Linked DNA regions of Bombyx mori. The protein of the gene in region 1 purifies or fractionates together with the protein of each later gene. This does not show direct contact. Links are inferred from orthologs where the notes say so. Each region holds a gene or a part of one and is shown on either strand. Other genes may lie near its edges.

Region 1 (10,543 bases):
CCTGAACCTGTGCATGTCGTTTTAAACCCTCAACCGGATACTATTAAAATCACCTATTAATTAAGTACCAATTTTTCGCACCCTTAGAATTGATTCTACTGATGGCAGGGCACAAGTGTCTACCGAAGCTCATTATAACCTCTGTTGCGACACGTGATCGAAGTCTTGATTCCAGAAATCGCGAAATTTAAACAAGTGCTAAGGGTTATTGCAATAATAAAAACAAGCTCTTAGAGCTTAGGTAGATAAATCTTTGAACATATTAGCGAACTGTATTCTTTAAGAATGTATAATAATACATAATACGGTAAGTTTTCATAATAGAGATTTTCTTTTTATTGCTTAGATGGGTGGACGAGCTCACAGCCCACCTGGTGTTAAGTGGTTACCGGAGCCCATAGATATCTACAAGGTAAATGCCGCCACCTACCTTGAGATATGAGTTCTAAGGTCTCAGTATAGTTACAACGGCTGCCCTACCCTTCAAACCGAAACGCATTACTGCTTGACGGCAGAAACAGGCAGGGTGGTGGTACCTACCCGTGCGGACTCACAAGAGGACCTACCACCAGTAATTACACAAATTATAATTTTGCGGGTTTAATTTTTATTACGCAATGCTATTCCTTTACTGTGGAAGTCAATCGTGAACATTTGTTAAGTACATATTTCTTAGAAAAATTATTACCCGTTTGAGATTCGAACACCGGTGCATCGCTCAACACAAATGCACCGGACGTCTTATCCTTTAGGCCACAACTACTTTCGAATATACTAATAATAATATTAGTATATTCGAAATATATTGAAATATAATTAGGCATATAAATGCGAACTAGCCGTACTCGTCCGCTTCGCTGGGCATTTAAATTAACCATTATTATTTATTGTCATTATTATTAGGGAGTCCAACACTCATAAATATTAGCCTATCCATTAAGTACATGTATTTTCTACATGGATACCAAGTTTTAAGTCAATCGGATGCATGGTTCAGTAGTTATAACGGAACATCCGTAAAAACCACTGTAGATTTATATATCCATATATTAATACGTGAAGGATAAACTTTGTATCCTTTTTACGAAAATAGCGTGGACGGAGGAGCATGAAATTTCTCACACTTAGAGAGCTATAGAGAAGGAGTGCAGAATGTTAATATTTTTTTAAATTATGCCTAAATAATACATTAAATCAATAAAAGAAACATGACACATACTACCACGTACCATGTACTCTTCGTTCATTGTCAAACTTTAGTTATTGTTCCAAGTCTGTGGTCAAATTGAGAATAGATTAATATTTTTTGTCTATTATGTAGCCTTCGCGAAACCTGTGATTATAGGAAGTAAAATAATAGTCTTTATAACTTATAATTTCAATTAATTATAGTCGAAATTCGACTACCGGGGCACCCCTAGTTAGTATAGATATGCTAATATTATTAAGATATTTTGTTGATATGTAGTAAAGTGGTCGGGATTGGGCGGCAGAGGGCACGGAACGGTCGGTAGCGCGTCGGCGGCGAGCGGCCTTGGCCGTGATCGTGCGCTCGATATAGCGCTGCCGACCCTCCGTTTGCCTCCATATAACACCCCCTCAAGGCCTCCAAACTCATCCCATGTTACAATTTCTGTTCTTCTTCGCTCTCTTCCATTTTTAAGAAAAACTTTTAATAAAGACCGTGAAAATTAATTTCCAAAGTAAAACAGAACAGAGCCTATTTACCGGTGAATAACTATTCAATGTTGTAGTTTAAAACCAGAACTAAACATGTCAGCAAATAATTTCAATATATTTATTAATAATTTTCCACAGAATATCGGTAAAGGTCATGACTGGGAAGTAACGAGAAATTATTTAACCGTCTGCTGGCGGGAAGGTTATTTTGTTTTATTGTGCACACTAAAACAATGGGTATAAAATTATATTTGTTGATACGAATCAATCCTTCGCAAAATCACTAAAGAACATTAGTAGGCAGACGGCGTAGTTGGAACGAATCAGAATTAGACACCAAGGCCACAAAACGAAATGATATCATTTATATAGCATGTCTGTCCCTGAACTCGCCGCCGAATGACGCACGTGGATTCGAATATCAACCCTGACCTTAGTAGTAAAAATAATCTCTGTAATGCTAGCTAATGGGTCTAGCCACCCTGATACAATTACCAAGGGTCAACATAAATCAATCTACATTAAATTGACATAATTCATCCAGCACTAAAGTAAATTGATAACACCCTATATGTATTAAAGAGGGTGTAGAGAAATGTTCCCAAAAACGATAGGTAACAGGTAATAGGTGTTGGTGAATGAAAATCGATAGCTAAAAATAATTGTTAAATAGTTTAAAATTTTATGCAATACATAATGAGCGTTACGTCCTTTACATTGGGTCCAGAAATTAGATTGGGCACGTAAATGATCATTCTATTTACGTTAAGGTGTGTGTTACTGCTACCGTTTCGGCCTTCGAGATTAGTTTCGAGGTTCAGAATAAAAAATCAATTAAATAATAATAAATTTATAAAAGAAACTTTTATTTCTGTTTTAACAACACAAGTGATCACTTTGCTTTTCCTTTCTTTTTGGGGACTTTTTTAGGCTTGTTTTGTTTCTTGGGTTGTTTTTTACCTCGACCTTTTGTTTTCTCCTTTGCCTTTTGGGCACGTAAGTCCTTTTTCATGCGCGGATCTACCACTTTGTACTGGCCCTTAACGCCCTGTGGTCTCTTCATACGCTTAGCAGTTGTATGTTTCTTGGCCACCACATAAGTGATTTTCTTTTTACCATCAGATTGTGCCTTCTTGTAAAGTTGTCTCACTTGTTGTGCTTTCTCTCGCTCGGACATATCAGCGTTCTCCATTACCGCCTCGACTTTTTTCTTTGCACGTTCCATCTTTTTGATCAAGCGCTTCTTCTTCCGCGCTTTGGCTTCAATCACCTTCTTGATAGGCCTCACATTGATGTCTTGTAATCTATTCTTGTATTCATCAGTATACTTCTGTAATAAAATAAAATGATGAATTTTAATGTACATGTTTGTCATCATGTTTTGATATACATATTTACTTGCACAAATTATTTAAGTATATCCATTATTGCTCACCTCCGGTATCACAATGTCTTTCTTCATATGTTTCTTTTCATCTTCCATAAACCAATCTGGTAAGTTTTTATCGTTAAACGCGTATCTATTCCACGCGTCATCAATTAAATCCCTCTTGAATTTTTTTGATGTAGCTATCATGGTTCCTAAAGCAAGTGTCTCTGCGTCCATTTTCAAAGTTTTCTTTAGTTTTTTCAGTTCTGTAAATAAATTTGAAGCTGATTGAACACAATTTTAACAGACAATTCAGTATCCTCGTTTATTTGATGAGAATTTTCTTTATGCAATTTAAAAAATCTTGCTTAGCTTACCTGGATCTTGGGAGACAACTTCAAAACCTTCTTTGCCGGCTTTTGGCCCAGCACTAGAAGCACTGGGAGTAACGTTTTCTTCAACATCATAATCACTGTCAGAGGAATCATCATCTGAACTCTCGTTGTCTGACAATTTTCTTTTTAGTGCACTGGTTTGTTTACTTGACTCCACATCTTCAATGACTTTCTTCCCTATGTAAAATCACACACTTAACTCAGATTAACTCTCAAAACATATTTTTCTTGTCTACAAAGGGCTTTCGGAAAAGAAAAGACGCTATTCAATCACTTAAAAATTGTTTGTATTTAGAACACGACATTGAGAGATTACTGGTGGTAGGACCTCTTGTGAGTCCTGTGTGTGTGTGAGGGTAGTTACCACCACCCCGCTTATTTCGGCCGTGAAGCAGTAATGCATTTCGGTTTGAAGGGTGGGGCAGCCGTTGTAACTATATTGAGACCATAGAACTCATATCTCAAGGTGGGTGGCAGCATTTACGTTATAGATGTCTATGGATTCCGTTAACCACTTAACACCAGGCGGGCTATGAGCTCGGCCAGCCATATATGCAACAAAAAAATGGTGAAAGGCCATTTGATTTAAGCGACATTTCGCTTAATACGCTATATTTATTTTGTAAATAAACGTGGGTTTTATTTGGTATTAGCATCAACAATACGATGTTTTTAATTGAACTTCAATTCAGTTTACTTCACTCAAATAGCTAAAGAAGTTGTTTTATTTTATTATATTTTTCCTAAATTTTAAACTTTAAATGGCTCTCCTATAAAGATGCAAAAATATCGCTTAAACCCAAGAGCCTTTCACCCTTCCATTTGCTCATTATATCACCGTAAGTCTTGAGAGCTCTGAAAGCCTGTCCATTACTCTCTACTGCTGCCTCTATAGATAAGCATGTAAAATAATAAAAGGCACAAAAAAAATAAATTAACTCTTCAGTAATGACTATTGACACCGGTCATACTCGGCACTCTGAATATTTTATTTAGTCTATAAGTCACAGCAGTTATGTCATAAATAGTCTATCTGTAAATAGCTTTTACACTGACCTTTTTCCTTGAATGTTTCTGTTAACTTGTCCAAATCTATACCTTCATCAGCTTCTTCATCAATATTTTTAAAAGAATCTTTCTCGAACCATAGCTGAGCTTTCATAGTCCTTTTCGAAACTGGGTCAGTGTTGTCCAGATCAGTGAGCAACGGGTTATTCTTTGGAATAGACTGTAATCTATTCAATTTGTTTGCTGGACTCACTTTACTGTTTTTTAGAGTATTCAATTTAGTTAATTTTTTGATCTTTTTCGATTCAGTGTCTGAGTCTGAGAAGGCTGTAAAAATGTAATAAGTAAATGAATAGTTCTTAGATATGAAACTGGGTTCAAAGAATGTTACAATGATAATAGTTTGTCTGAGTTTTCTTTGGAGGATAGAGGTATGGCATATCCCCGGTACCTCCAACTTTTTTTGTTAATTTACCTTTACACATCTGTAGTAGATTTCATAATACATTTTTTAGAATACTACCGATAATACCAGTAGTACAACGCCGAATAAGAATACTATTTAGACATCGATTCCAAACCACCACCAAATAAAATTCTAAAGTAAAAATTAAAGTATCTTCTTTGTCTCCATCTTATCTCACTAGGTGGGGTCGGCACAACGAATTTTTCTATTCCATTCTCTTGTATCAGCCGTCATATCAACACTCACTTCTCTCTCTCTCCCATATCGTCATTCACACGGTCGGCCTCTTCCCCCTCTACCCTGCACTACCAAACATCTCCTAGTAACGTGCATCTCCTCTGTACGCACCACATGTCCATACCACGCTAATCGTAAAAATAAAAGTCTAAATAAATAAACAAAGATATCTGTAATAAAATTATGGCACAGTGTTAAAAATAATTTACCTAATGACTCTTTTTCCTGTTCAGATTCTGAATCAGATTCCATTTCAATTTCACTGTCTGAATCTTTGTAATAAAGTCCTGATGAATCGAGCTTGGTTTCCTCAACATCGTATTTCAAGTACTTTGGCTTAAGTTGAATCTCATCATCAAAAGCATCATCTCCATCAACCACGGTGTCAGGCTGCTGATCTATAAGCGTGTTCAGTTCCTAGACAATAAAAAAATTCATATAATATATTTTTAATAGGTTGTGAATTGTTAACTACATCATTTTCATAAGTACAGAAGGCATGTTGCAGCTTAACGCTCTTTTATATGAATCGTGGAATTCCTCGAAATTGCACGCAGCGTTACGCTCCCCGACAACTGAAGCAGTTTATCTGTATTTCTTCTTTCCTACGTTGTTATACGAACGTTTTTCATACATTTGTTGATGCTATTCTAAGTATAAATGTATATAATATGATTTACTTAGTGAAAAATATTATTATTTTATTTTATACTATTTTAAATTTTTATCTTGAGTGATAAAAAATCTGAAAATGAAGCAACAAGAAAAAGCATTTAACAAGAAACGAAAATGCAAATGAGGGTGAACGTAAATCTCAAATTGTTGCTGCATTAAATTTGGAATTTTTCTTAAGACTGAAAATTAAAAATACAGAACAGACTGAATGATCTGAAATTTAAACATATTGAGTTAGAATTTCATTAATTATATGCTATTTTTTATTGCTTTTGATGGGTGGATGAGCCCACATGGTGTTAAGTGTTTACCGGAGACCACAGACATCTACAACTAAATAGCGCCACCTACTTTTAACAGTCTTACGTCTCACTTTTAACAGTACAACGGCTGCCCCGCCCTTTAAACCGAAACGAATTACTGCTTTACGGCAGAAATAGGCAGGGTCGTGATTTTCACTGGTGGTAGGACTTCTTGGGCGTCCGCACGGGTAGGTACCACCACCCCGCCTATTTTCGCCGTGAAGCAGCAATGCGTTTCGGTTCGAAGGGTGGGGTAGCCGTTGTAACTATACTTGAGACCTTAGAACTGTATCTCGCGGTGGGTGGCGCATTTACGTTGTAGATGTCTATGGGCTCCAGTAACTTAACACCAGGTGGGCTGTGAGCTAGTCCACGGATCTAAGAAAAAAAAAAAAAAAAATCTACCCATGCGGACTCACAAGAGATCCTACCACCAGTATATGTATATTATACTCATTTATTATATTTCTATTATAGTAAGAAATAAATGTTTGTTTTACTGTTATACAAATATTATTAATGAATAATATAATATTATTTAATAAAATAATTAATAATTTTAACGGTTAAATACCTGACCAATTCTGTACAATTTTCCCCTAACCCCATTATTTCTATGATGAGATAGTCTCGTTTAACAGTTTTGTATTACACTAAACTTTGATGGAACTTACACCCTGCATTAAGCAGGGTCTTACTATAGATACTTGTTTGTTAGTGAGACATTTAATTTACATTACTACAATTTTTTTGTTAAATGTTAACACTTAATAACTTATACACTTGATGAGATGCACCAAATTGGTTCTGAATTTAACATGTAGTTATAGTAAGTAGTTAAAAAAACATACCTCTGCATTCTTGATATCAGAGAGTTGAAACATATCATTACTTTCCAAAATAGGACCATCATCTCCTTTCAATACCATCTTAAGATTCATTTTTTCAGCTAGTTTTTGTCTCTGTTTATTCAACTGCTTCCTTTTACGTTTCAATTGTCGCTTCTCTTCATCCTGGAATATTTTATTAAATTTGGACTATTATTTTACCCCTGTTCATAATAATAAGTGACAATGGAAAATGCTTTTGTCTTTTATTTTAATGTGGTATTAATTTACTTTTTAAATCAACAAAAGATTCCTTAGCAAAAGTCACAGATCATACATAGTATAGTATAAACAGTCCCAATCTAGTACCTGCAGTTCTGCAATTTGTGTGTCCACATCACCTTCTTCAGTATCAGCATCCTCATTTGTTTCATGTTCTTCGTTTTCATCATTGGTTTGGGGCTCATCATCTTTTTTCTCCTAAAATAAGTTTTAGTTTTTAATCTTTAGTGCTTTCAATACTCTATTGCTAGCTCTTAAATTACCTAGTGTTAAGTGGTTAAAGTAGTTTATCAAACACCACAATGTATACGGCCACATCCACTTTGGGACATTTGTTTATTGTCATAGTATATATTCAACAAGCTACATTTGTATTACTCAATACTTTGGAAGTTGTTCGTAGATGTTAACTGCTTTTGTAGACAGAATACCATAAGCATATAACCATACCTTGGGAACAGGCAAGTTGCTTCTTACTGTATTCATTTAGAAGGTACACCTTAACTACATTTTACAAACTTTGTATAGTATAGTATGTATATACTTGATAAAATACTACAAACTACAAACATAATTAGAACCTACAAATATTCCCAATAACAAGCATCCCTCTTTGAGTTCACTCCCAAAGCTAACTTCCTAGATGAGCAGGGATAGTGTTAATAAAATCTCTCCACCTACAGACAAAATAAAACTACAGGGGACTTGAGGACATTGATTTGCAAAGAGCTGCTCCTTTACTATACACCATAGACATATTACTTGATTTGAGTGTACATTCAATGATGTACTAATTTAAGATGCAAATGAAAAACAGTTTCTTATTCATAATCAAATCCTCGTGACAGAGTTTTTTACCCACCAAAATACAAATGTCTGAGAGGTATCCCCATGTAATAAGTATAATAAGCCTCTGTAAGCAAAAATTTAATTTGTGATTATATCCTATAAAATTCTAACCTTAGACGATTTATATTCTTTCATTTGCTTGAACCATGACAGCAGTGATTTTAAGTCTTTTCGTCCAAGCACCTTAATATCCTTACAACATTCCTTTATTTCTGGTGTTGTCTTTGGATGAGTTTCTATTTCCTTATCATCGAAAACAATCTGCAACATTATTGAAAGTAGTTATGTAATTATTTAAAAAAACATAGTAAAACAATTAAATGGCAATAATCAAATTTTCATTTTACCTCAGAGCAACCATGAAGTAGATCTACTGGATCATCTTTTCCCAAAAAATCAGACAGTTTTACTTTATGATGTGTGGTATAATCATTTTCTTTATATCCTTCTGCTTTTGCTTTTTTTTGTTTCTCAGGATGTAATATATTTATATGCTGTTTTTTAACTATATCAAGATCTTCAAAGACATGTTTGGGGTCGAGAAATTTAGGATCAATTGTATCTGGTGCAATATAGCCCTGACATACAACGAAAATTTCAGAAGACTCATTACGAGAAGCTTGGGGCTTTGTAGCATGTACTTTTTTGAAGAATTGTTTCAGAACCCATAAAAGTGCATGATAGTCTTTCGATCTGAATACTTTAGTCACAAACCAACCACCTTCTCTGAGGAAGTTCGTTGCAAGTTTTAAAGCACTCAACGTTAGACAAGCTTGTTGATAGGCATCATGGATCCAATTAAGACCGACATTGGGTGCACCGTCATTAAGTACCACATCAGCTTTCCATGTTTTTATTTCTTTTTTGATTGCTGCCTTACATTTTTCTGTAGTGATATCTTCAGTCAGACCTATACAACCTGGAACTGGTTTTATTGGAAACAAATCGACTCCTATTACTATGCTCGAGACTGGCATATTTTGGTGGGCCACCTGCATCCACCCACCAGGTGCAGCACATAAATCGATACATACTCGTGATTTCTGCAAAAATCCAAATTTCCTGTTCAATTGTATTAATTTGAATGCAGCTCTTGATCTATATCCTGAAAGAAGTATACATTTTTCGATATAAATATACGTTCTAATAAATATATATACACCTACATCGCCGCCCTATATCTGAACTAATCAGTAGATGTACATATTAAAAGTATTTCGGTTTAATCAGATGAATTATCAAAGTAATTAGATGTTATAAATGATGCAAATTAAAAATGATGTACCTGTTTCTTTAGCTAGTTGGTAGTATTTATCTTTCCGTTGTTTTCCTACTTTTGTTTTCTTTCCCATTGTAGTATGTTACTTTTTTAAGCATATGACTTCTGGGGTTATTTCTAAAAACAATTGATTATAATCAATTACATGACAAAATTGAATGCAATATGCACATTACGAGTGTGTGTACAAGTGAGGTTATGTTTATTTTCTCGTGTTTCATACCATAGAGTTTTTTTTTTCAATTATGTGCTGCACGAACATACAATCATTCAAGTCATTAAGTTAAAATCGGCTTTTTTTACATTTGATGTACCTGAAGAAAATTTTATGGATTGTTCAACTAATTGTAATAATGCAAGTAGCTGGGTCTGCGGAGGGACTTCGGTTCCCTCTGTATTTTATACCGTATGTTCCATGGGGAGTGCTCTGAGGAATTGTTTGAGATGATACCAGCATCTCGTTTTTACCATCGCACCGCCCGCCACCGGAGTAGAGTTCATCCATACTACCTGGAGCCGCTGCGGTCATCCACAGTGCGTTTCCAGAGATCTTTTTTGCCACGTACCATCCGGCTATGGAATGAGCTCCCCTCCACGGTGTTTCCCGAGCGCTATGACATGTCCTTCTTCAAACGAGGCTTGTGGAGAGTATTAAGCGGTAGGCAGCGACTTGGCTCTGCCCCTTGCATTGCTGAAGTCCATGGGCGACGGTAACCACTCACCATCAGGTGGGCCGTATGCCCGTCTGCCTACAAAGGCAATAAAAAAAAATAAAAAAAAAAGTAGCGTAGAGAGCATACCAAAAAATATTTATAGATGGTCGACCGCAGGTGAATGAAGTTAGCCCCTCAAAAAAAATTTTTTTTCCTATTTTATACTTATTTTCTATTAATTCGTTTGTTCATCATTTGTTCATGATTGTTCACTGTTAATAATTTTTTGTTCTGCATTTATTTATTTAAAAAAAATATTTAAAAATATACCTACAAGTTAGCCCCTCTAATGCAATTTTTAATATTTTTTCATCCTTAATGACTCGTAAATATTCATTTTCGATTGTTCTTATATAAAACACGTTTGTTCTCTTTCGAAATTACTCGTTTTTTGTTTAATTTACTATTTTTATTAGTTGAATAAATGTATGCAAAATATGTGTACTGCGCATGTGTCAACT
Region 2 (11,577 bases), about 1.3 Mb from region 1:
GACTGACGAGAGAATATGTTTCTTTATTGCATGTTAAGTTCTAATTATGTTGTCAATTATGTTATATTTTTATTTACTGGTATTGAAACATCTTGTAATTAATTATGAATTAATTTGTATGGAATAAAGAAAGCTTTATTATTATATTATTATTTATTATGTATGTAAGTCTAATTGTTTGATACGTAATGTACGTGCTTCTGTTGTAATAAAAACCTTTTGATAGATTTCAACATAATACGAAGTTTCCTTAGATTCCTCTCAGTTGTGGCAGTGACATGGTTTATCTCAAAAACATGGTGTCGTAGAAAAATAAAACCAAATAACAAAAAATCTGAAATAAAAACAATCTTCAAAAGGAACTTAAAACTGCTGCTGCATTAAAATTGCTACTAACTTTAGTATCATTTAATTACACTATTCACTGGCATACATTTATTTTAAGCCTTTTAAAAATTTACGAAGATTTTCAGGGTTTGTTATTTTAATACGAAATTTGCCATATTTATAGCCATTAGATCAATTTAATATTAGGTGGAGGCATATGAAGTAATATTTCAGTTTTTTTAAGTGTTTAATACCTATTTAAATGTCATAAATTGATATAATTATGCATGTAGAAAGAAAAACCATTACTTATAATAGCAGTAACTTTATTACAATCCAATATAATATGTCAAATAGCACATAAATTCTCACTTTCTTTTATGCTATCCTTACATAAACGTTTATCAAACCTTTCTTTTGATTTTACTGTGATTTTTATTAATTTTACTATGCTTTTTATTTGTTGTCTTCATTGGATTGGAACTGTTAGGTTTGTTTTCATTTGCCTTTTTATTTTTATTTTCAGTCAGACCATTTACTTTTCTGTTTTTACCAAGTTTACTATTTTTCTTTTCATGTTGCTTTCCTTGACCATGTAGTGAGGGTTCTTGCTGCTTTCTTGAGTTTTGCAATTTTTCTGCACTGCCCATTTTACCCTGAACTCTACTATTTGAGTTGTTTAGGTTCTGTGACTGAGGTCCCTTCTTATTTTTATTTTTATTTTTCTTATTGACCGCAGCGTTTCCAGTGGAACTGAAAATAAGGTAACAAAGTTTTCTAGTTGTTTCTATGATTCAATGTTAACACAGTTCGTACTATTCTCTGATATAACATTGGTATACCAGACTTGTAATTTTATAATAAATAAATAAACACTGCTTTAAAAACAACACTTCCCTTAACATCAAGAAGTCGTCGTGACCTTAACGATAAAGTCGTCCGGTGCATTCGTGTTGAGCGATGCACCGGGGTTCGAATCCCAGCCCGGGTACCAATTTTTCTAATGAAATACGTACTCTACAAATATTCACGATTGACTTCCACGGTGAAGGAATAACATCGTGTAATAAAAATCAAACCCGCAAAATTAGAATTTGCGTAATTACTGGTGGTAGGACCTCTTGTGAGTCCGCGCGGGTAGGTACCACCGCCCTGCCTATTTCTGCCGTGAAGTAGTAATGCGTTTCGGTTTGTAGGGCGGGGCAGCCGTTGTAACTATACTGAGACCTCAGAACTGATATATCAAGGCTCGTCCACTCATCTAAGCAATAAAAAAAAAAAACATTAATTGAAAATTACCTTTTTGCATTTTCACCTTTCATTTTCTTTGTTTGTGGCTCAGCTATATTCGACTCTGGCTCCAAAGTTCTTTTCTGGGGGCCACTGACCTTGGAAGTTACATTATTAGAAATGGCATCTGTAGACTGATCTCCTTCGTTTGTGACAACTGTTTCTTCATCTGCACCTTCGGTTTCCTTATCATCATCATCTATAACTGCCTCAGGCTAAAAATAAATAAAAATAAAGTTCACTAAATATGTAAAATGGAACTATTTCTTGAACTACTACTGAGTCACCAATTATACTATACTGATAAGACTATTGTAAAATCTCATTTCTTTTAAATTGATTCTTTCTAGAAGAAATAATAGAAAGCTTTCCCTTCTTTTGAGACATCAATTTCTTATTGGCAAAGTCCCCAGTGTAAATTCATATTAGATGGACTGTAAGACCATTTAGAGTAAAAAACAAATTCAGGTTAATTTAGTAGGTCATTATTACGATGGTACTTCATAAAAAACTTACAATGACATTGGAGAATTTCTTTAATTTAGCGACAAAGAATCCATCCATATTATGTGTGTGAGGATAAAATCTTCTAGTCAATTTTAATGATGGATGGAACCTATGATGCCTGTATTTCATAAAACCTTCAGTTCCAAAATCAAGGCCTGTGGGAACCAATTTCACATTTCGTCTCTTCAATGCGTAATTTACAACCCATTCATTTTCTTCAGGTAAAATAGAACAAGTGGAGTACACAATATACCCGCCCGTACTTGATTTGGCATTACAACAATCAATTGCAGCTAACAATAGCTGCCTCTGCAAATTAAAACACCTTTGTATGTCCTTCTGGTCTTTCGTAGTCTTTACACTGGGATCTTTAGCAATTACCCCAGTACCAGTACATGGTGCGTCAAGCAATACCCTGTCAAACCCTTTAATAACTTCAGGGAATTGTCGACCATCATAATTGCATATAACAGCATTGACTACACCCAATCTGTGGAAATTTCCCACAACTGCTTTTGTTCTTTCTTTGTTTGCATCATTTGCAAATAAGGCACCAGTATTTTTCATTATAGCAGCTATATGTGACGCTTTCCCACCTGGAGCAGCACACATATCTAATATTCTCTCATTTTCTTGAGGGGCTAATGCCATTACTGGTAAAAAACTTGATGCACCTTGTAATATATAGTGACCAGCTAAATACTCAGGCGTTGCACCAATAGGTACTGTGGAACTATAAATAACAAGGCCAACCTTGCTCCATTTGCCAACTGGGTCCAAATTGACTCCTCGATTAATCAATGCCTGGGCTAAATCTCTTCTTCTAGTTTTGAGACTGTTAGTTCTTATCGTCACAGGTCTAGCAATCTCACTTGCTTCCAAAAACTCCACTAATTCTTGTACAGGAAATATTTGCATAAGAACTTCCATCAAAAACTCATTATAACTATAATAGGTACAAAGATCTTTAAGTAATAAGTCTGTGTATTCACATCTTGAACGCCCTTCCTCTTTTAATCTATTAAATTCTGTCAAAACAGAGACTACATCTTTGATCCTTTGTTGTACATCTTGAAGGCTGGTAGGATTCTGTAGCTCTTCTTCTGAAGGGAAAGCAAAAACATCTTGTTTTGATATATTCAATTGCATTTCCTCATCTGCCAATTTCTTTTCCTCCTTTTGTTTCTTCTTCAGCTTCACATTTGCTTTTTCAATAGGCAGCATATCCTCATCATCACCATCCTCATCAGATTCTTCTTCACTTGAATCAGAATTATATCCTGCATTGCCACTATTTACAGATCCTTCTTCTTCTGAACTTGGATCCGCCTCCTCTTCATCAGAATCTTTGAATAGATCATCAAGAGTTCCCACCTACAAGTGTTTAACAAATCAAATTATCTTCTGTGATAAACCATTACTTTATTTTATTGCGTGGACAAGCTCACAGCCCACCTGGTGTTAAGTGGTTACTGGAGCCCATTGACATCTACGACGTAAATGCGCCACCCACCTTGAGATATAAATTCTAAGGTCTCAAGTATAGTTACAACGGCTGCCCCATCCTTCAAACCGAAACACATTACTGCTTCACAACAGAAGTAGGCAGGGTGGTGGTACCTACCCGTGCGGACTCATGAAAGGTTCTACCACCAGTATTATTACAATGTATAGCACTCATTAACTATTTAGGAGAAAGTTGTAAGATTAGTTTTACCTTATACTTTTCACTGACAGTTTTTGTTTCTTCTTCATGCTCACTTTCAGCTTCAGAGTCCTGCTCCATCTCTGAACCCTCATCTTGATCACAAATGTCACTGTCTGAATCTTTTTGTTTTTTCTGTTGTTTAACCTTCTGTTTTGGTTTCAGCCATTCTTTGTTGTCATCAGAGTAACCTGGAATATTACATTAACCATTTTATATTGCTTCATTTGGGTGCATTAACTACACGAATTATAGTTGGAAGTCATCTTCAGACAGCTATGATAGAACACAATAGAATAATAAAGAACAAAGATAAAGAAAAGGAGTACTAAAGGAAAAATACTACAACTGGAGATAGAAGATGGGAAAATAACATAGGTTAGCTGGTACCCTTTGCATTACTCACAATAAGATCATAGAGGTTTAAAAAGCAAGCAACCAAACATTCAAAAACAGGAATTTGAGAAAACCAAGAACTTTTACTGATGGTAGGACCTCTTGTGAGTCCGCACAGGTAGGTACCACTACCCTGCCTATTTCTGCCATGAAGAAGAAATGCTTTGAAGGGTGGGGTGTAGCCTTTGTAACTATACTGAGACCTTAGAACTCATATCTCAAGGTGGGTGGTGGCATTTACGTTGTAGATGTCTATGGGCTTCGGTAACCAATTAACACCAGGTGGGCTATGAGCTCGTCCAGCCATCTATGCAATAAACAAAAACAAAAAAAGATGTATTTTTTTTTTTAATTGGTCAGCTTTACCTTTTACAACTGGTTTTTTAATGTCTTCGTCATTTGTCTCAATTTCTTTAGCTTCATTTTTCTTGCCTTGTTTTATAGCTTTTCTTTTTTCAACTATTTCAGCCTTTTTTTTGGCACGTTTTGCGGCCCTTTGCTTTTGCCTGTGAGTCAGTTTTTTCACCTGATCTTCAGTCTCTACTAAAATAGGAAAACAAAACTATTATGAAAATATAAAGGTTGACATGTGATAAATGAGTCGACTATTATCAAAGCCGGCATTGTGACTTTTGGACAATTATTGGTAAATCAGAAAAACGAATTATTGACTTTGTATTCCATTGGCAGTCAGAAAACTCTTCTGAACGACATCTTAGATAAATAACAGGTTAAGTATTAACCTTTATTTAATGCAGGTTTTGAACCGTATTCTTTGAAGGAGACGATTATATTCATGATTGAAAGTTTACTGGTGGCCCGAAGGCCTTTCCAGTTTCACCAGGACAGGTGGGCGAGCAAAGGCTCAGCCATTATATTCAAATCAATCTGTATTGACATATCAATAACATTTTTTTGTCCAAATGCACAGATTGCCACCTTTGATAATAGACGACTCAAATATACAACATGTGTGTGACAATGTGGACTATAAATGGTCAGTATTTATTGAATAAATAATCCACAATGCTAAAAGCAGTGCTAGGGTAAAAATTGGGGAACTGCCTAATCATTTAAACTAACTATAATTTTGAAATGTTCGTAGTTCGAGAACAAATTGTAGATTTGAATTTTTGGCAGAAAATAACGGGGTGGTGGATAATAATGTCAATTTCTTAGTTATTTTTAAAAATGTAATAAACTTGAAATTAAGATTGTGTTGATTTGTAACAAACGATTATGTGGAATACTCACATAGCTCCTTTCTAAATACTGGATCGGGCTGTTTTTTTGCTTTCCTTCCAGGACCTTTTTTCACTTTTTTCGTCTCATCAAATTTCGCTTTTCTACCCATTTTCGACAACTAATTTTCCACTTCAATTAATTATTAATAACTTGATTATGTACCTACTTGAAAAACACTGCAAAGTTCACACGTGCTGGTAGGTTATATTTTGATTGATACTTTGATACATTCAATTTATTATCTATGGGTTGGTGTCATTTTTACAGATTACCGTAAAATGGGGCGATTAGGGACAAATTCCAACTTTATGAGCAATTTTAAGGTAGTTGTTGATGTATATAATGCTATATCAGGATCAAAATGATTGAGTCTTGGGGGCATTTTTGTTGTCTAATTTAAAATTATGCAACTAGCATTCCAGTTTAAGCAAAAAATGCAAAAATAGGTGTAATCCCTATTTACCCGAAAATTGCGGTTAATTGGGACGAAATGAGAAATTTGCTAGGGTTGGCACTACTTTTATTTTTATATATAGTTTTAATTTATTTATTTATTTAATTGCACCAACAAAGTGATCATCAATAAAAAAAATTGAAAAACTGACAAAAGTACATGGCAGACATCACCTCAATTATTGGTGCAATCGACAGTGCTGATATTTCTATCTGGGTTAAGAGATTAGGTGTGTCGGTTATTCCATGGATTAATCAGATGAATACCCCCACTCTGAACAAATATTAAATATTTTATTAAGTATTACTTAGACATTTTTGTCCACCTTGAGATTTCATTAATCTTGTTACATGTCTCTGCAAAATCAACTTACTTATATTAAATTGCTTATCTATTTCAAATAAAGACTTATTCCCAATTTCGCTTCGAATAAACCAGATTTTTACCAACAAATATAAAAAATATTGTTATAACTACATAGACAACCCTACAAACCTGTACCTATTTATACTTAGGTAGTTTCCATTTCACGTATTCTCATCCCAATTGACCCCTTTTTCGTTGTTATTTGTACCTAAGACGTCCCCAATATCCCCAAAAACAACAGATTTTTACATGTATTTTTATTTAATCAAATACATTAAAACCAATAACAACTGAGACTTACTTTTAATATATATGCTGGTTCAAACACTAAATAACGTTTATAAATCATAGTCGTCTTCTATTATTATCAAATAAATAAAAGAGAGCAAAGTTTCTAGCACTAAAATAATTACCACCACAGGAAGTTAATTTGAAACGCGATTTTTTATAAGTTAGCAGCTATTATCATGCATATTCAGAGTTGTTTTGTGAACTTTCAACATTCTACTATTAAACTACAAAAAATGGAAGATTTTGAAACGAATATAAAACTTATATTGAGCGTCGAAAGATTTTCCCGGTTTTTTCCCGATTCGCCTCTCAATCCCTAATCGCCCCATTTTACCGGTACTTATCCATTCACAGTCACACGTTATATTTCTTTCTATGGTTTATAATTATCAATGCATATTAATATATGGGGCATTAAGCAATAGTTACCGGAACTCAAAATCCCAACCCGTATCATAGTTAAAATGCTACATGCAACAGAAAGTCAAAAACTCAATCATTATATATTGTAAATGGACTAAATAGTAAATCCTGGATGGTAAATCCTACAGAGGACATTGCTGCTCATTCTACGGTAAATGTTTTCTTTTACTTTGATTTCTTAATTTTATTTTCAGTCAGTTTTATTTAACATTTCAAACTACACAACTTTGATCGTTACATCAAAAATTGCCCTTTTGCCCATGGCGCCTATGCAATGAACAAAACAAAAATTATCTATTTGTTTTTTTGTGTAATATCGCATTGGTAGGACTTTTTGATGGGAACGCGAGGAGTAAAGCTGTGTGAACTGTTTTATTTTGATGTGAAACATCTATAGCCACACGTAAAACCGATTTCTGGCGTGGCGACACGTCGCCATGCGCAATCGACTGTGCGATTCTCTCCCACTCGATCCGGCGTTAAGCCATCTCTCTCAGATATCTATAGTGTATACTCCGTAGTGTATACAGTTTTGTTTACTACAGTACCCATAACCTGTGTTTTACTTGAAAACAAATTATTTTTTCGATAGATTTTATTTTATCATTATGACATATTTAGTTCCTATCACAATCTGTTCATTTCTGCATATTAATTTTACCAAATAATGTCGATGTTTCACGTCTGCCAGGCGTCCCGTGACTGCTCACTTTTTTTTTGTTAATTTTGTGTTTCTTCCTGTTTAAACGTATATTAAAAGTGGTTTATTAACTAATTAGAATCTATGAAAGTGCACAAAGTGAGAAAATGTAACAAACTCCCAGGACCTAACGTCTCGGGATCTCTCAAAAAATCTCAGTAAATGACCACTGTTTTACTTGTTTCATTTAATTTCATCCCAATTGATTAATTGGATAACTGAACTTCAGTTTATTTCGCTCCATGATAATATAATTTTTCATATAACACTATTTACAAAGCTTAGGCTGTATGGTGTGATAGTTTCGGTTTTCTAGTTGGAAAAATGGAACTAGGTACTACTACTATTGGATTGCCGAGACTTTTTGAAGTGAAACTTCCTTATCGGCGTTGGAAAAAAATTTACCGTCACATTTTTCGGTTACGCGTCACTTTTTTCCGTTACGCGCCATCTGTTTTGTATTCATGTCTATGATAATAAAATCCTTTTGTTTAAACTTTATCTAATTTAACTTTTTTGTATTCATGTCTATGATAATAAAATCCTTTTGTTTAAACTTTATCTAATTTAACTTTATTTAACCAATTTCTAGAAAGTTGCATGTAGATCATTTTTCGAAAAATAAGGCCATAAACAAGTTTCACTTCTTACGTGTGTACACTAGTACACGCACACATTTTTTATTTGTTTTAATGTGTCTATTTAGTTTTTTTAAGTTAGTAAGCCACCGTACAAATTAATTTGCGTAGCTTCTCGGGATCCTTCAAAAAGCCTACTGAAAAAATCTTAGTAAATAACCACCATTTTACTGAGATTATATATCAACCCATATCATTTCATTTAATTTCATGCCAATTGATTAGTGTTCCAAATCAATCAACTTCATTTCATTTCATTTAATATTATCATTTTTCATAAAATAAATGTTAAGATTAGGCTATATGGTTTGATACTTTTACCTTCCACTTGGAAAAGTAGACTACTACTAGGAAATTTGGCAGTGACAACTGATTATTATTGACGTGACGTCACAATTTAGCAAAACTGACTACACGCGTGAAATAAATTGCAAAGTATTAAATCAATCAGTGTGAGTGCAACTATTCCCTTGAAAATGACTAAATATAAATGTATAAACAGTAATAAATGCTTTAGTCACTATTAGAATTAATACAATGATTATCTCTCAAAGTTGTGCCGTAGGGCGATACATTTTTCGCAAGAAAAATGTAGTTTTCAGGTAACTAACGTTGAGAATTTGTTGTTTATTTTAATTTCTTATTATTTATGAATTTCCAAGAGTTTTCATCGATTACAATAATGCATAACTCTTTTATCTTAAATATTTTCTCAGGAAACTCTTGTCTTCCTATAGTTTTCAGGGTCATTACGTAAATAGACAAGGTAGTGCACTATGTCATTGCCAAGGCATTCAACAACAAAATCGTAGTTTTATAAACCTGCCAATAACAAACAAAACAAGAGTTTATACTGGAAGGCAACTTGTTGGGTGAGTAAAAAAAAATAACAATTAAACTGTTGATAAATTTTAGTCACTGTGATCTTAAGATGGGACACCCACTGTTGTTGTACTCCTAGGGTACTCCGCTGGTACATAGGGTCTTTACAAGTTGTCTCCACTTCACCCCGTCTTGCTCTTCAACATCTAAATATTTCCATAGGTAATTACTGGTGGTAGAGAATATTGTATTGCTAATTTTGCCACAAAGCAATCCTTCTCTCTAATTTAAAAGGTTAAACAACCATTAAAACCAAAAGTGGTATGATTGTGACTGTCTCAAAGTAGCTGTATTCATGTGTTGTTTAAGGTCTCTAGTAATTGCTTAATATTAATTGAAAGGATTTAGAGATGTACTCTTAGATAGACATATTATAATGTAGCTCAATATTTTTATATTCCTTATGATTATTGCTGTTGTCTTTTAGTGAGATCTATAAGGCTACTTGTTTATCCTTATAAATAATGTACAAAAAATTTGTACAATTTAAGTGCCGAACACGTTTTTATATTTAGTATGAACTAATCATAGCTGGATTAATAGCCTAACAGTAAATCATTATCTTTATTTTTGTTTATATCCATTACTGTATACCTTAAAATGGAATCTAGTTTCATATAAATCTATTTTCACAGCTACACAATGGAGCAAATGTTTGAAGTTGTATCAGATGTAGGAAGCTACAACAAATTCCTACCGTGGTGCAAAAAGTCTATAGTTTTGAAAGAAACACCAGGAAACCTGAAGGCGGACTTGATCATTGGCTTTCCTCCTATCAATGAAAGCTACACTTCAAATGTTACGCTAGTCAAACCACATTTGGTAAAAGCAGAGTGTTCTGATGGAAGACTCTTCCACCATATGTTGACCCTTTGGAGATTCAGTCCTGGTCTAAAAAGAGAACAGCAGTCGTGTGTTGTGGACTTCCAGATAACATTCGAATTTAGATCAGCTATACATTCACATTTATCTAATTTGTTTTTTGACCAAGTTGCTCGACAAATGGAAGGTGCTTTCATTAAAGAAGTCGGAAGGCGCAATGGGCCGGCAACAATGCAGCCTAGAAAGTTACTAATAAACAATCACACTTTGAAAACTTGACGCTTACTAATTGCAAACCAAAAAAATTAGTTCAATTCAGTGTACATAATTATTGAGTATTTATTGTGATTACTTTATGTAAAAATTTGTGAATATTATATTTTATCTATTAGTCTGTTAGAAATGTGAGGCAGAGCCATTGTGATTTAATGATAATAAAAAGATAAAATTTAAAGTGAAGTTTTATTTACATTTGTCCACATTGAGATATTGTTACTGGTATTTTAGGTTTATTATTTGGTCCTGTTGGTACATTTTCTATTTTCCTCATGACAAGTAATCCATCTATAACTCTACCAAATACTACATGCTTATTGTCTAAGAAATTACATTTTGCACATGTGATAAAGAACTGACAGCCATTCGTGTCTTTACCACTATTTGCCATGGACAATAACCCTGGAGAGTCATGTTTCAAACCAAAGTTTTCATCTGCAAAAGTGCTTCCACCATATATGCTCATAACGCCTGTACCGTCTCCCTAAAATGAATAGTAAATATTAATAAACTTCCATCATGTTCAGTTAGGCATCGTTTTATCATAAACAAAACTTAATACGTACATTTACGAAATCGCCACCCTGAATCATAAAATCTTTTATTACTCTGTGAAAAGTAGCTCCTTTGTAACCTAAGGGCACACCATCCCGCCTGTATTCACCGGTACAAAATTCTCTGAAGTTCTCACTAGTTTTTGGTACTACGTCGGCGAATAACTCGAATATCATACGACCTATTTCCTAAAATAAACATAAATATTTTATAAACATAAATTTTTGTGTGTTCTTTTAAATCTAATAAAAAACAATAAGTTCGGGGAGGTATTTACCGTTGTTCCTACAGTAATGTCGAAAAACACTACTGGATTGTTAGGATTCCTAAGTTGTGACTGTATTTGGTTCCAAGTAGGCATTTCAATGTGTTAATATTGAAATTTTTACTAAAACAACATTACATTTGTGTTAACAATTTAAAACTTCTATAAGTTTTAGTTTGTTTGATGTTTATTGTTACCCGGCTGTCAAATTTTGAGGTTATACTTTTGACATCCTTTCCTTGACATTAGGTAGCTTACAAGCCTATTTGTCCAGATCTAAAAACGGAATTTCTGGTGACTTCAAAGGACAAAACTTCACGTTTAGCGAATTTGTTACATTTTAAGATTATAGCAGTTTCTTCTATTTCGGCGAATCGTAGATAATAATAAAACTATCCTAACCGTTTAATTTCAATTATTTCTAACGCTTAGAAT
Region 3 (11,577 bases), on another chromosome or scaffold:
CGTAATGTGCAACACAAACTTAATCTACATATTTTCATTTTCTAAATTGTATAATTATTATTAGTAATATATTTACACCGTGTGTAATTATATTAAAATTGTATTAAATTTAAATCGATACGATCTCATAGCATTTAAGTTTAAAAGTTAAAAGTTTTAATTTAACTTTATTACTTTATGGTTCTGTATATTTTAAAGTTAGTTAAGTTTACAAATTTTTAGTTAATCTATATTTAGGTCTTCAAGGTTGTGTGAAATCGTAATGTGCCAATAATTTCAATTCGAACATTCCTATTGTATGAATTACTTCCTCTACTGTAAGTTTACTATAAATATCAGATTAAATGAAAATCGGTAAGCGAACAACTCTTATTGGAGCTGCAAAGTTTTATATGTGTCGGTTTGAAGACGGTTTAGTTGTCGCGTCTTATTTAGTATAACTATTATGTTAGTGTTTATATACATACGTGCGATAACGTCACTTATGTAAATTATGTATTTTTTTCAGGAGAAACGTTGGAAAATTCAACATCGTATTATATAATTCTGCTAGGCTATAGAAATAAAATGAACTACAAACTTCATCAGTAAAAGCAAAAATCTATCTCGTCTCACTAATAACTATTAAAAAATGTATTTTCTCATACTCAGTTCAGTTTTAACAAAAATTGCATAAGTGACTTTGTTTGTAGCACCGTATGTGCGATATCATGTTTGTTTTGTTTTCGTCGTTTTCCACCCTTTTCTGTTCATTTACCAAATAAACTATAAACGACACGTATCATACCACTATCACTAATCATACCAACACTTACTGGTACCTATGTCTACCATACCGGGTAGATAACGGCATACGACAAGTATTACTCAAAATAAACAAAACAAAAAAATAATGTACAATAACTGTAGATAAGAAAAAGTCATGAAGTAAAATGTGCATTTTCAATGCAAAAGTTCAAAATGGGTCATTTGACCCGTTAAGGTATGTTTAGTGTTAACGTGTCATTTTAGTGAAGTAATAACTCATGACCCTTGAACAGTAATTTTTCGAATGGTTATTATTGTGTATGAATTGATGTGAAAATCAATCGCCCTATTACAGGTGTAATTATTGAGAGACTTAATAGAAATCAGTTATTGTATTAAATTTATCTGATTATTATTACGTTCTGTGGCTTTGTCTGTATCACTGTGGCTTTTAATGTATATTTAAAACCTATAATATTTAGGGAGACTTTAGTCGCTTAGTGACATCTACCGACACCCTAGCGACGCTCGCTTAGTCGTCCTGCCATTGCCATAACCCCTGCCAACATCCCAAAACACTATGTAAAGTTACATATTAGCGTCTAATAAAAATAAAAAAAAAATTGACCAATTTTTTTAAATTAGTGTTTTACATTAAACCGATGCATGCTAAATAGTGCTGCCTTCTTATTTACCGATTCTGATCTAATCGAAACTAGTTAATTCTATAACATTTTAATATAAATTATTATCATAGTTATAAACAAAAATCCTATTTTGTGACGATCGCTTATCTATAGTGAAAATAGTTGTAGTGAAAAGAATAGCAATACTAGTTATTACATATAGAAATTATTGTACAAATTTATAATATTATAATGTTTTTAAATATTTTGGACATGTTTATTAATAGGGTTTAATAGAGATGAATTTTCATCAACAAAATAAAGTCGAGAAAAATCAGAAGTAGGTACAGACAGTTTGAAAGATCATCTACATTTCTGCAGGATCCAATACAAGCTACGTATTTGTGTTGCTAAGTCCGACTTTTTTTGTTCAATAGAACTAAGATTCCGTGACAATTCCCTATTTGCATTGACCTCATGACGCTTTTCATGAATACATGATTGGTTTTCGGTAGAAACAGACAGGGCACTAACAATAAATCTGGCGGGCTCTGAACCAATGTCTTACCAGCAGCTGGTAAATTAAATGTAACTTAATCAAGTTGGGGAATTGACAATTTACTTTTGAGAAAAAGAAACTACGAAGTTGTCTGTATGTACCTTCATAACCTTAATCTGTGAACTCTATGAACCTCTATGAACCGCTAAGACCGGTAGACTAATTACGCGATTCCATTTTTATTATGAGTTATGTTATAGTTTATTATGACTGTCCAAAAGATTTGAAAACACGGGTTTGTAGTAAGTAGCTAAACATTAGAAGCTTCCATTAATAAACTTTATTATAATTAGAATTTGATGTAGATAAGTAGGTACGCTTAACGACGAATTATGTAGGTTATAAACTGATTTACAGTATTACAAATTTTACCTTCTCCTTCTAAATGTTGATTGTGAAGATTTTTAATTCTTCGTTAGTGTCTAGTCAAATTCCATAGAAACAAATGTAATTAAAGCAATAGAAAAAATACAGACTTTTATTTTATTAAATGTGTATGGTTGGCCAAACAAGGTAATTTTGGAGGTGCTGTCTTTGTTAGATTATAATTAAATTTAGTTACATGCCAGTAAAGTAATGTAGATGACAGATTGAATTACGGATTTACGGCTCAAGACCGATAGTTGAAGTTGTGTAGAGTGCGGGCTCCAGTATTGGCCTAAAACTAAGTCGGATAGTCTTCGAAACTGTCTAGAGAAATAAAAACAATATCCTGACTCTTTCTATATTAATGAATTTCATACCAAACTAGCTTTTGTCCGCGACTTCGTCCGCGTGGAATAGTTACTTTGCCACAACGCTAAAATTCGATGCCTCCAATGAACACTACTCTAACTGAAAATTTTGAAATTTTCGTTTTTCACGCAAATCGCTTCACTATTTTAAAAGTATTACAATTAATCATTATTGATGGGGTTCGAAGCAAGAGTAAATCAGCTAGTTACACAAAAAAACCATAAATATATCTGCAATAATAAAGATTTTATCGACTTTTTTCGTTTAAACGCTCCTCCTGTAAATCTATGAATTTAGAGTTAGCGTAGTGTTCATTGGAGGCATCGAAATTTTACCTGCGACTTCATTTACGTAGAAAGAAAAAAACGATTTAGAAACATTCTTTATTGGTATTCCGTTTGTATTGGTCTTAGCGTATAGCCTATAGCCTTCCTCAATAAATGGGCTATCTGACACTGAAATAATTTATCAAATCGGACTAGTAGTTCCTGAGATTAGCGCGTTCAAACAAACAAACAAACTCTTCAGCTTTATAATATTAGTATAGTAGATACCTCGAAATTGGCTTTTTTTTAATTTCTTTTATTGCTAAGTTGGATGGATGGACTCACGGCCCACCCGGTGTTAAGTGGTCACCGGAGCTCATAGACATTACGCATGTAAATGCGGTCACCCACCTTGGACATGTATTCGAAGTCTCAATTTTTAAGTACAACGGCTACCCTACCTTCCAAACCAAGGTAGGATGGTGATACCTACCCGTGCGGGCTTACAAGACGGCCTCACACCAGTAATTACACAAACTGGTTTCATTTTTATTACACGATGATATTCCTTCATCGTGAAGCATTCATGAACATTTGTTAGGTTAGTACGTAACTATTTCATCAGAAAAATTTGTACATGCCTGCGGGACTCGAACACTGGCATAGTCGCATCACTCAGTGCAGAACAGTGCTTCGCAGAACCTACCGCCGGATCGGAAACGCGACCCGGAAACGACCCGCGACGCGAAAAGATCCGACGAGAAACTCTGTGACTTGTGTCTGTGGGTTAATTTACTCGCCTAGCCCTGCGCCGCAAGCGACAGTTTCGACGAGAATCACTCGATACGAGAGTATTGGAGACACCTTGTTCTTTTAGGCCACGACGACTTCACTCTTGTTACGTTCAAAACCAAACATATTTTTCGATTTAAAACAATGAACGCCTCATTTTTAAGGGTTTTATTAATAGTTAAGGAAAACAAAAAAACAAGTGTCAGTATTTTAGTTTTTATTAGTAATACATTCTGTAAGGCTTATATCATAGTTCTATCTCCTTTTCCGTCCAGTAGATTTCTTATTTGGTGCCCTTTTTCCCTTTCCTGCTTTAGGTTTCTTGGCTGAGAAATTTGTTGCATTGCCTTTACCTTGAGTTTTACGTTTTCCTAAGCCGGGTTTCATATTTTTCTTTTCGTGTGATCTCCTAATGATAATACAAACAATAGAAATCAGCTCATTTACTTCGAAGTAATAAAATAAAAACTTTAAAAAAAAAATTCTGATTATATCATTTTCAAATTTACAATAAAATAAAAATAATTTACTTACTTGACTTCCTCTTCATTTATACTTTTCGCTACAGCTTTATCCATATCAATTTTTGGCCTCTTACTCAGTATATTATCAAGTAGATTCAGGTTGTATTCTTTTTCTGCTGCCGGTGTTGGTATAGGTGCTTTACGTTTCCTCTCCTTGCCTGGGATTAGCTCATGTACACCTTTACCGCGTGCTTCTTTCTCTTTGGGTAATTTATCTTGGAATTTTCCAAGAGAAGCCGTTGATGCTTTTGCTACACTTGCTGCTGTGGATAACTGGAAAATTATGAAAAATAATTGTAGATTTATGCATTCATATATTTATAAAATCATTTAAATTATTATCTTTAAACAATAATGTAATGGATAAGCAAAACAAGATGAATGTAATAGTTTAGCAATAAAATTGCAACAGTTAAAAAGTTGTAGTATATCTAATTCTAACTTAATTACAAACAGCAAATGCTGCTTGGCTGTAAGAAAGATCAGGTATGCTACTTTGAGATCATCTAGAATAGAAAAAGGAAAATTGTCCTTTCATTGAATTAGACATGTATTTATTAAAGTATACTATTATCATTGTATAAGATGTCTAATTTGAAACTGAAAAAGGAAAAATTATAATTCAGTACAATATATATTTTTCTACTTGATCCTACCTGTGTGGCAGAAGCTTTATCTGAAGTGACAGGAAGCCCCACCCTTGGTATTTTAACCTTTTTGGCTCTAGCGAGATTCTTAAGTCTCTGTAATTCATTCTTTGCAACCTTTTCTGATTTTTCACCGGCTTTCTTTTCATACATATCTGTCATAGGATCTAAATTCTGTGGGACTTCTATAAGCCAGTTCTTCTCTTTTTCAGCTGCAGTTTTCTTGAAACTGATGATACAGAATTATATAGTCAATTATAGATATAGTTGATTGCCGACAATAATAAACGGACAATGTGTTTTACAACATCCTGGCTATTGGTTTGACTATAAAATACAGATTTTAAAATGATGATATCAATTTTTAATTTCTGCCTAAAAACTTTTGTAAATAAGGTTTTTATGGTTTGTGTTTATAGTTTTCTAGACAACTTTCATTATTCTACTATTGAAAACTCACCCATATAAAGGAACCCATTTCTGCAGCTGTTCATCCCATTGAAGTTTGTCTTTCTTTTTCTTATTAATACCCTTGGCTTTTGCGAACTCTTGCCATTTAGTTAATGGCTTAGGTACAGGCACTGGCTTGGCTCGGGGTAGGATTGTCGTAGGTTGTGGCAATCGAACTACTATGGCCTCTTCGATTCTTTCAGTGGGAAGCTCCCATACTTTATTCAGTAGTAGCTGAGCATTGTCACGGGTCAATGCAAGTAAATATGAATCTTTGTTTGTCCTAAACAACACATAAAATCAATTTAATTTGATAACAAAACATGTGCTGTTAACTAAATTTATGTTTAATCCTGAAATTAATAGTGACTATGCGTTTGCTAAAATGAGATAAGATGAAGACTTACTTCAGCGTTTTTATGTCCAAATCGTTTGTGTCAGAGGCCAATAGTGAACCTAGGTCGAATTCTAATTCCAAATGTTTTTCGACCGTTATTGGTTTATATTTATCTGCTTTCTTTTGTTCCCTTTCTAATATCTCATTTACAATATCCATTGTTATCAGAACACTTCCTTTTTACACATTAGAATTAACAAGCTTATTTGACTTGAGCTAATATTTTCCTTGCTTTACTTTTGTTGAAAAATAACCTCAAAATGTATTTTTTTTTTACAATTTAATTACATATATTTATGATTTCGTAGTTTTCTGGGCAACCACGTTTTGAACTCTGGCATAGATAATAAATATTTAACACATGTCATCATATTGGTAGCTTATTGTAGTAGATAATCTATGCACGTAGAATAATTATTTTAGAATTTTTATGTACATACATATATATTGAAACGATGGAACTCAAGTTCATTTTTATTTTATAATCTATAAATATTTATGTATTCAGTTCTATTACCGCGCATCACTGTACTGTACAGTAACTAAAAGGTGTAGGGGCTTCGTTCCCTTTGTATCACCAGCGAGTTAATAAATGAAGATTATGGAGCATGTCCAAACAGGAACAGGTATAGTGATATAAAGTATAAACGAAATGTATTATGCATAGCCCTCTACCAAGGTTTAATGATAGATAAGACATAAACATAAACGTTACATAGTAACTTTTTAATAATCTGTAACTCTGCCTCAACACTCGCGTATGACGTCGCACTGTGAAGAAACACCATGATCTGCGCCAGAACTGTGTCCCTCCACACTCACAAAGCTTCACAGCTCAGCCTTGTTCGCGATTATGATCGACGACGACGTGATTTCTGCTGCTGCTGTGTATTCTACATACACTTCACTTTCTTTCTATACAATCTATAGCTCGACTTAAGTGATTCTTTATTTTTCTTTAACTCTGACTCAGTTACAGGTGTATTTAAGATAGCACTTATGCGTGTCCAGGCATCATGAACCTTATTCTCATTTTTGTGGTCTTGATGTTTCGGCTTAGGTTTATGGCAATAAATGAGAGTCAGTTCCAGATCATTATTCCACCATTTATATTAGGATCAATCACCAACGCACGCATAACCACTCTACGATGTCCTGTACGCTACTGCGGTAAGCTGCGAGTGTGGATACATTCACGTTCGCGTGCCGCAAACCCTTTGTCGCGGGCCATAAAACCGACACAGATCGGGGAGCGACGCGCGAACGAGAAGGCGTGAACAACATCTACACTCGTGAATTCGCAGTTGTCGCGTTCGCGCCGCGAGTGTAGAGCCGACTTGACGCAGAGTAGGAAGGAATACCGTACTATAGCCATATTAGCCATGGAGTTAATAAGTTCAACTCTAGCTCTATGATTGTAGCCATAGATTATACACTTAAATTGTAGCGTAACTAGCGTAGCATTATAAACTCTAAAAAAAGAAAAATATCGCTTAACTGACATTTTCAATTAAAATAAATGTTTTAATTATTCTAATGCTCGTAGGATTTGTTAACTTAAGATTAAGTAAGATTAACTTGTTAAATTAAAGATTAAACACTTAATATTTGAGTTTAGTTTATTATTGTGTACAAAAAGCAATAAATACATTACCTAAATAAACTGAATTTCAATGTCAAGAACTAAAACTAACCCAAATGGTGGACATAAACAAATATTTAGAAATGCAACTTGAATTAGCGAAAAAGCAAATTGAGAGGAAAAATAGTCAGAAAGAAGATGTATCAACTAAAAGCAAATCTGCTGCTGATTACATATCGCAAAAACAGGCAAAGACTCTGTCAAAATTTCCCCACAATCAAAAAGTAGATGTAAAAACTACTGTGACATCAGGGACTTCAACTGAAGGACACCTCGATGACATCGATTTTGTACCTTCCGATGAGGAAGACGACAGTATCCATAATTTTCCGCTTACTGCGTGTTCTTCTCGTACCAAACAGAATATAAACCGAATTGTTGACGACGGTGATATTAAACAATACAATTTAAGGGTAGAGGTTTGGCGTGAAGGATTAAATACTGTGAAAAGCGGTACATATGAAGGATGCACGTTAACCGCTGACATACAGTACATCCTGGATGGTAATAAAGATAGCGATGAAATGCATGAACTCCAGAATGGTCTATTAGTACCAAAATATATTTGGAAACAGTTATATAAATTTCAAAGAACTGGTGTTAAATGGCTTTGGGAGTTGCATCAAGTGGATTCTGGTGGATTGTTAGGTGATGAAATGGGACTTGGTAAAACAATACAAGTCATTGCATTCCTAACTGCCCTTTCAAAAACCAATTTAGGATCATGGGGTGGTCTTGGTCCGAGTATCATTATCACACCTGCAACAGTTATATATCAATGGGTATCTCATTTTCATTATTGGTGCCCCCTGCTCAGAGTAGCTGTACTGCATCACACTGGCTCTCATGCTGGTAATCACCATAAACTATTAAGGGATATACACAGTGCTCATGGAATCTTGTTAGTAACATATGCAGGCATAGTAAAGTATCATAAAGAACTTAATGCTTATAGTTGGCATTATTTAATTTTGGATGAAGGACACAAAATACGTAATCCTGATACACAAGTAAGTAAAATTGTAAAAAAAATCCAGACACCACACAGATTGTTAATAACAGGCTCACCAATGCAGAACAGTTTGCAGGAACTGTGGTCATTATTTGATTTTATGAGGCCAGGTTTGTTGGGGACATACAATGCATTCATAGAACACTTTGCAGTTCCAATCACTCAAGGAGGCTATGCTAATGCTACTGAAATACAGGAAGCTACTGCCATGGAAATAGCTATTGCTTTGAAAAATATGATCACTCCTTACATGCTGAGGAGAACTAAGGCTGAGGTACAAGGACATATCAAACTCCCAGAAAAGAATGAACAAGTTCTATTCTGTTCTTTAACACAAGAGCAAAGAGATCTTTATATGGGTTACCTTATGAGTAATACAGTGAGAAGCATCTTAGACAAAGAAAATAAATTTGGAAATCCATTAAGAGCGAGGCTACTAGTGGCTCTGTCAACGCTAAGGAAAATATGCAATCATCCTGATATTTATCTCTACGAAGCTCAAGAAGATGAAGAACAGATAGATGAAGAGATATTTGGCCATTGGAAGAGATCTGGAAAAATGACTGTTGTTAATTCATTACTTAAAATATGGAAAAAACAGGGACATAGAGCTCTCATATTCTCTCAGTCAAGAGTAATGCTGTGTCTGTTAGAACAGTATTTACAAAATCAAGGCTTTACATACCTCAAAATGGATGGTACAGTTAATGTTGGCCAAAGGCAAAACTTGATTAAAACTTTTAATGATAACACTGATTATTTAGTTTTTCTTTCCACAACTAGAGTAGGTGGCTTAGGTGTAAATTTAACTGGAGCCGACAGAGTGATAATATATGATCCTGATTGGAATCCTGCAACAGATGATCAAGCAAAGGAAAGAGCATGGAGGATAGGCCAGTCTAGAAATGTAACAGTTTATAGATTGTTGTCAGCTGGGACTATAGAGGAAAAGATTTATCAGAGGCAGATATTCAAACATTTCTTGAGTAATAAAATTTTTGTGGACCCAAATCAAAAGAATTTTTTAACCACCAGTACATTACAGGGACTGTTCACTCTTGAAGAGCTTAACCGTGAAGGAGATACTGAAACTGCATCAATTTTTAAACATACCAAAATTATCAATAAAACCAATAAGAATGATAATGACTTGGATATTTCATCTAAAACAAAGTTAGAAGCCATGAAAAGATTAGCAAAAGAAATAAGTAAAAAAATATCAAAAGAATCCATGAAGGGAACACAGGAAAGTGATCCACGTGAAGAATATAAAAAGAAAAGAGAACAATTATTATGTCCACCTAAAGTGGAAGAACCAGATATTAATTTAGTTGATGATAAAATAACCAATGTAGCTTTTGAAGATGTTTTGTCAGAATTAGATATTGTAAAAATGCATGCAAAGAAAGATTATGAAGAACAATTGTTGAAAAGTGTACTAGAAGATAATGAACAAGATATTAAAGAAGTAGATGAAGAGAAACCTACCAACATTGACAACTCTCAACTTGAAACTAATGAAAGTACTGTAAAAGATATTAAACAAAAGCATAAAAAATCACATAAAATAAAGCGCAAAAGAAGATTATCATCTTCCATTGATGATGGACTCAAAAATTTAGTAACTGTAAAGAAAGTAAAGAAAAAGGATTATAGTAAAAATGAAGTAAAGAAACAAACTAATGATGATGACTATGTGTTAAACAAACTTTTTGCTAAAGCAGCAGTGAAAAACGCGTTACAACATGATGTGGTAGTTGGTTTAGCTGAAAGAGAAAAAAAACATAGATTGAAAGAAGAAGCTGCTAAAAGAGCTCGCAATGCGGTTAGAGCTGTTAAATTTTCATCAAAATAATGTAATAAAAATGATTACATCTGTGATATTTCAATATTTTACCGCCTAAGTAAAATAGTAATTTATAAGATTAATAAATTTAATTGATATAATAAATAAACTGTAATTTCATTCATTGCCTTGTTAAATGAATTTGTAGTATTCTAAAGTGTCATTGTTGAAGCCACTTTGATACTATAATTTAAAATTTGGAAATCCAGTTTTTTTTTCGTGTAAGCAATGTCTATGATATTATATTGAAAATATAGTAAAAACTGTATTTTTAGTGTTAGTCAGTTTTTTATGGTGGGGATTGATGGGAACCCTGTTATGGAAGATGTGTTTGTAACAAAAATTCTATGAATGATGTTTTTTAAGTAATTTTTTTTATGAAAATAAACCAATTGGATGAGTAATCAATTAGATTTCAATCTAGTAAGGTCACAAAGCTCTTGATTTACTAGGTTATCTTTTAATACAGTTAATTCATAGACCTATATAGTAGGGACACGACATATTGTTCTATACGTACAATTGCTTATATAAATAGCACCCATTTTGAAGGCACATACATAAACATATATCTATCTCGTTCTTACTCAGCACTTTAACTCGCAGGAAAACAATATAACAGTATTTCAGTGCGTACATAAAATGAAACATGAATATACGTAAATATCTCCGTCTCCGTCTAATGAGGCCGAAAATCCGCCATGTTTAGCGCGCCAAATGTCATTGTCACGTCAGTTCGGCCGTCTGTTTTGGGTTGTACATTATTTATTGACTTTGATATCGATTTAATATGATTGATTATATAAAATTTCATAATTTATTATGCTTAAAACATACAAAAATAATAATTAAAACGTATTTTATAGGATCTCAAGAAAGTCGATGCCCTAAAACTATTATTTATATGTATTTAAATTCATTATGGAGCCCTCATCCGAAAAATCCATTTTTCGGTCGGAATCTATTGATCATGACACTAATCATAAATACCACTTTAAAATATGTCATCAAAACATATTTAGACATTCTGTTTAGATATTTCGGGAAAAAGGCTACCGACAAAATCTCTTCGGAACTATTTAAATAAAATAGTTTTATTCCGCAGTGAGTAAAACACTATTGTAAATTTGTTAAATATTTAATAATTAAGTGATTTTAGAGAGGAAGTCACAAGGAATGACGTTTGTAATTAATGAATAAATGTTCTGTAAGTGTTTTTTTTTCACGCGGTCCCTTGATAAGTTTAAAATTTGAATCACTCTCAAGCGAAAGTGATTCAAATGGTGCGGCGCACCTTCCTTGGGGTGCGCTGTGGTAGTATGTTACGGACTTTA

The links.
Region 2: the proteins of pre-rRNA 2'-O-ribose RNA methyltransferase FTSJ3 (region 1) and uncharacterized protein LOC101741314 fractionate together in Homo sapiens (co-fractionation; 3 studies listed by BioGRID and IntAct, with this or other methods). This does not show direct contact. The link is inferred for Bombyx mori from reciprocal best matches to the Homo sapiens genes FTSJ3 and NOP2.
Region 3: the proteins of pre-rRNA 2'-O-ribose RNA methyltransferase FTSJ3 (region 1) and ribosome biogenesis regulatory protein homolog purify together in Homo sapiens (affinity purification with mass spectrometry; 3 studies listed by BioGRID and IntAct, counting the BioPlex papers as one, with this or other methods). This does not show direct contact. The link is inferred for Bombyx mori from reciprocal best matches to the Homo sapiens genes FTSJ3 and RRS1.

What each region holds. Positions count from the first base shown.
Region 1 is NC_085116.1:7,757,868-7,768,410, reverse strand, and holds pre-rRNA 2'-O-ribose RNA methyltransferase FTSJ3, read right to left. Parts: upstream 10,148-10,543; 5' UTR 9,443-10,147; coding exon 9,376-9,442; intron 9,196-9,375; coding exon 8,438-9,195; intron 8,352-8,437; coding exon 8,202-8,351; intron 7,440-8,201; coding exon 7,329-7,439; intron 7,146-7,328; coding exon 6,984-7,145; intron 5,573-6,983; coding exon 5,365-5,572; intron 4,780-5,364; coding exon 4,501-4,779; intron 3,622-4,500; coding exon 3,427-3,621; intron 3,316-3,426; coding exon 3,116-3,315; intron 3,011-3,115; coding exon 2,573-3,010; 3' UTR 2,515-2,572; downstream 1-2,514.
Region 2 is NC_085116.1:6,473,475-6,485,051, reverse strand, and holds uncharacterized protein LOC101741314, read right to left. Parts: upstream 5,736-11,577; 5' UTR 5,580-5,735; coding exon 5,480-5,579; intron 4,769-5,479; coding exon 4,592-4,768; intron 4,021-4,591; coding exon 3,842-4,020; intron 3,499-3,841; coding exon 2,134-3,498; intron 1,833-2,133; coding exon 1,627-1,832; intron 1,081-1,626; coding exon 732-1,080; 3' UTR 637-731; downstream 1-636. Other genes in the region: coenzyme Q-binding protein COQ10 homolog A, mitochondrial, read left to right, coding at 8,880-8,944, 9,059-9,214, 9,860-10,325; peptidyl-prolyl cis-trans isomerase H, read right to left, coding at 10,513-10,806, 10,889-11,065, 11,155-11,238. UniProt on the Homo sapiens protein: S-adenosyl-L-methionine-dependent methyltransferase that specifically methylates the C(5) position of cytosine 4447 in 28S rRNA. Required for efficient rRNA processing and 60S ribosomal subunit biogenesis.
Region 3 is NC_085123.1:3,055,044-3,066,620, reverse strand, and holds ribosome biogenesis regulatory protein homolog, read right to left. Parts: upstream 6,307-11,577; 5' UTR 5,903-6,306; coding exon 5,754-5,902; intron 5,630-5,753; coding exon 5,357-5,629; intron 5,126-5,356; coding exon 4,906-5,125; intron 4,523-4,905; coding exon 4,260-4,522; intron 4,135-4,259; coding exon 3,981-4,134; 3' UTR 3,928-3,980; downstream 1-3,927. Other genes in the region: DNA excision repair protein ERCC-6, read left to right, coding at 7,442-10,252. UniProt on the Homo sapiens protein: Involved in ribosomal large subunit assembly. May regulate the localization of the 5S RNP/5S ribonucleoprotein particle to the nucleolus.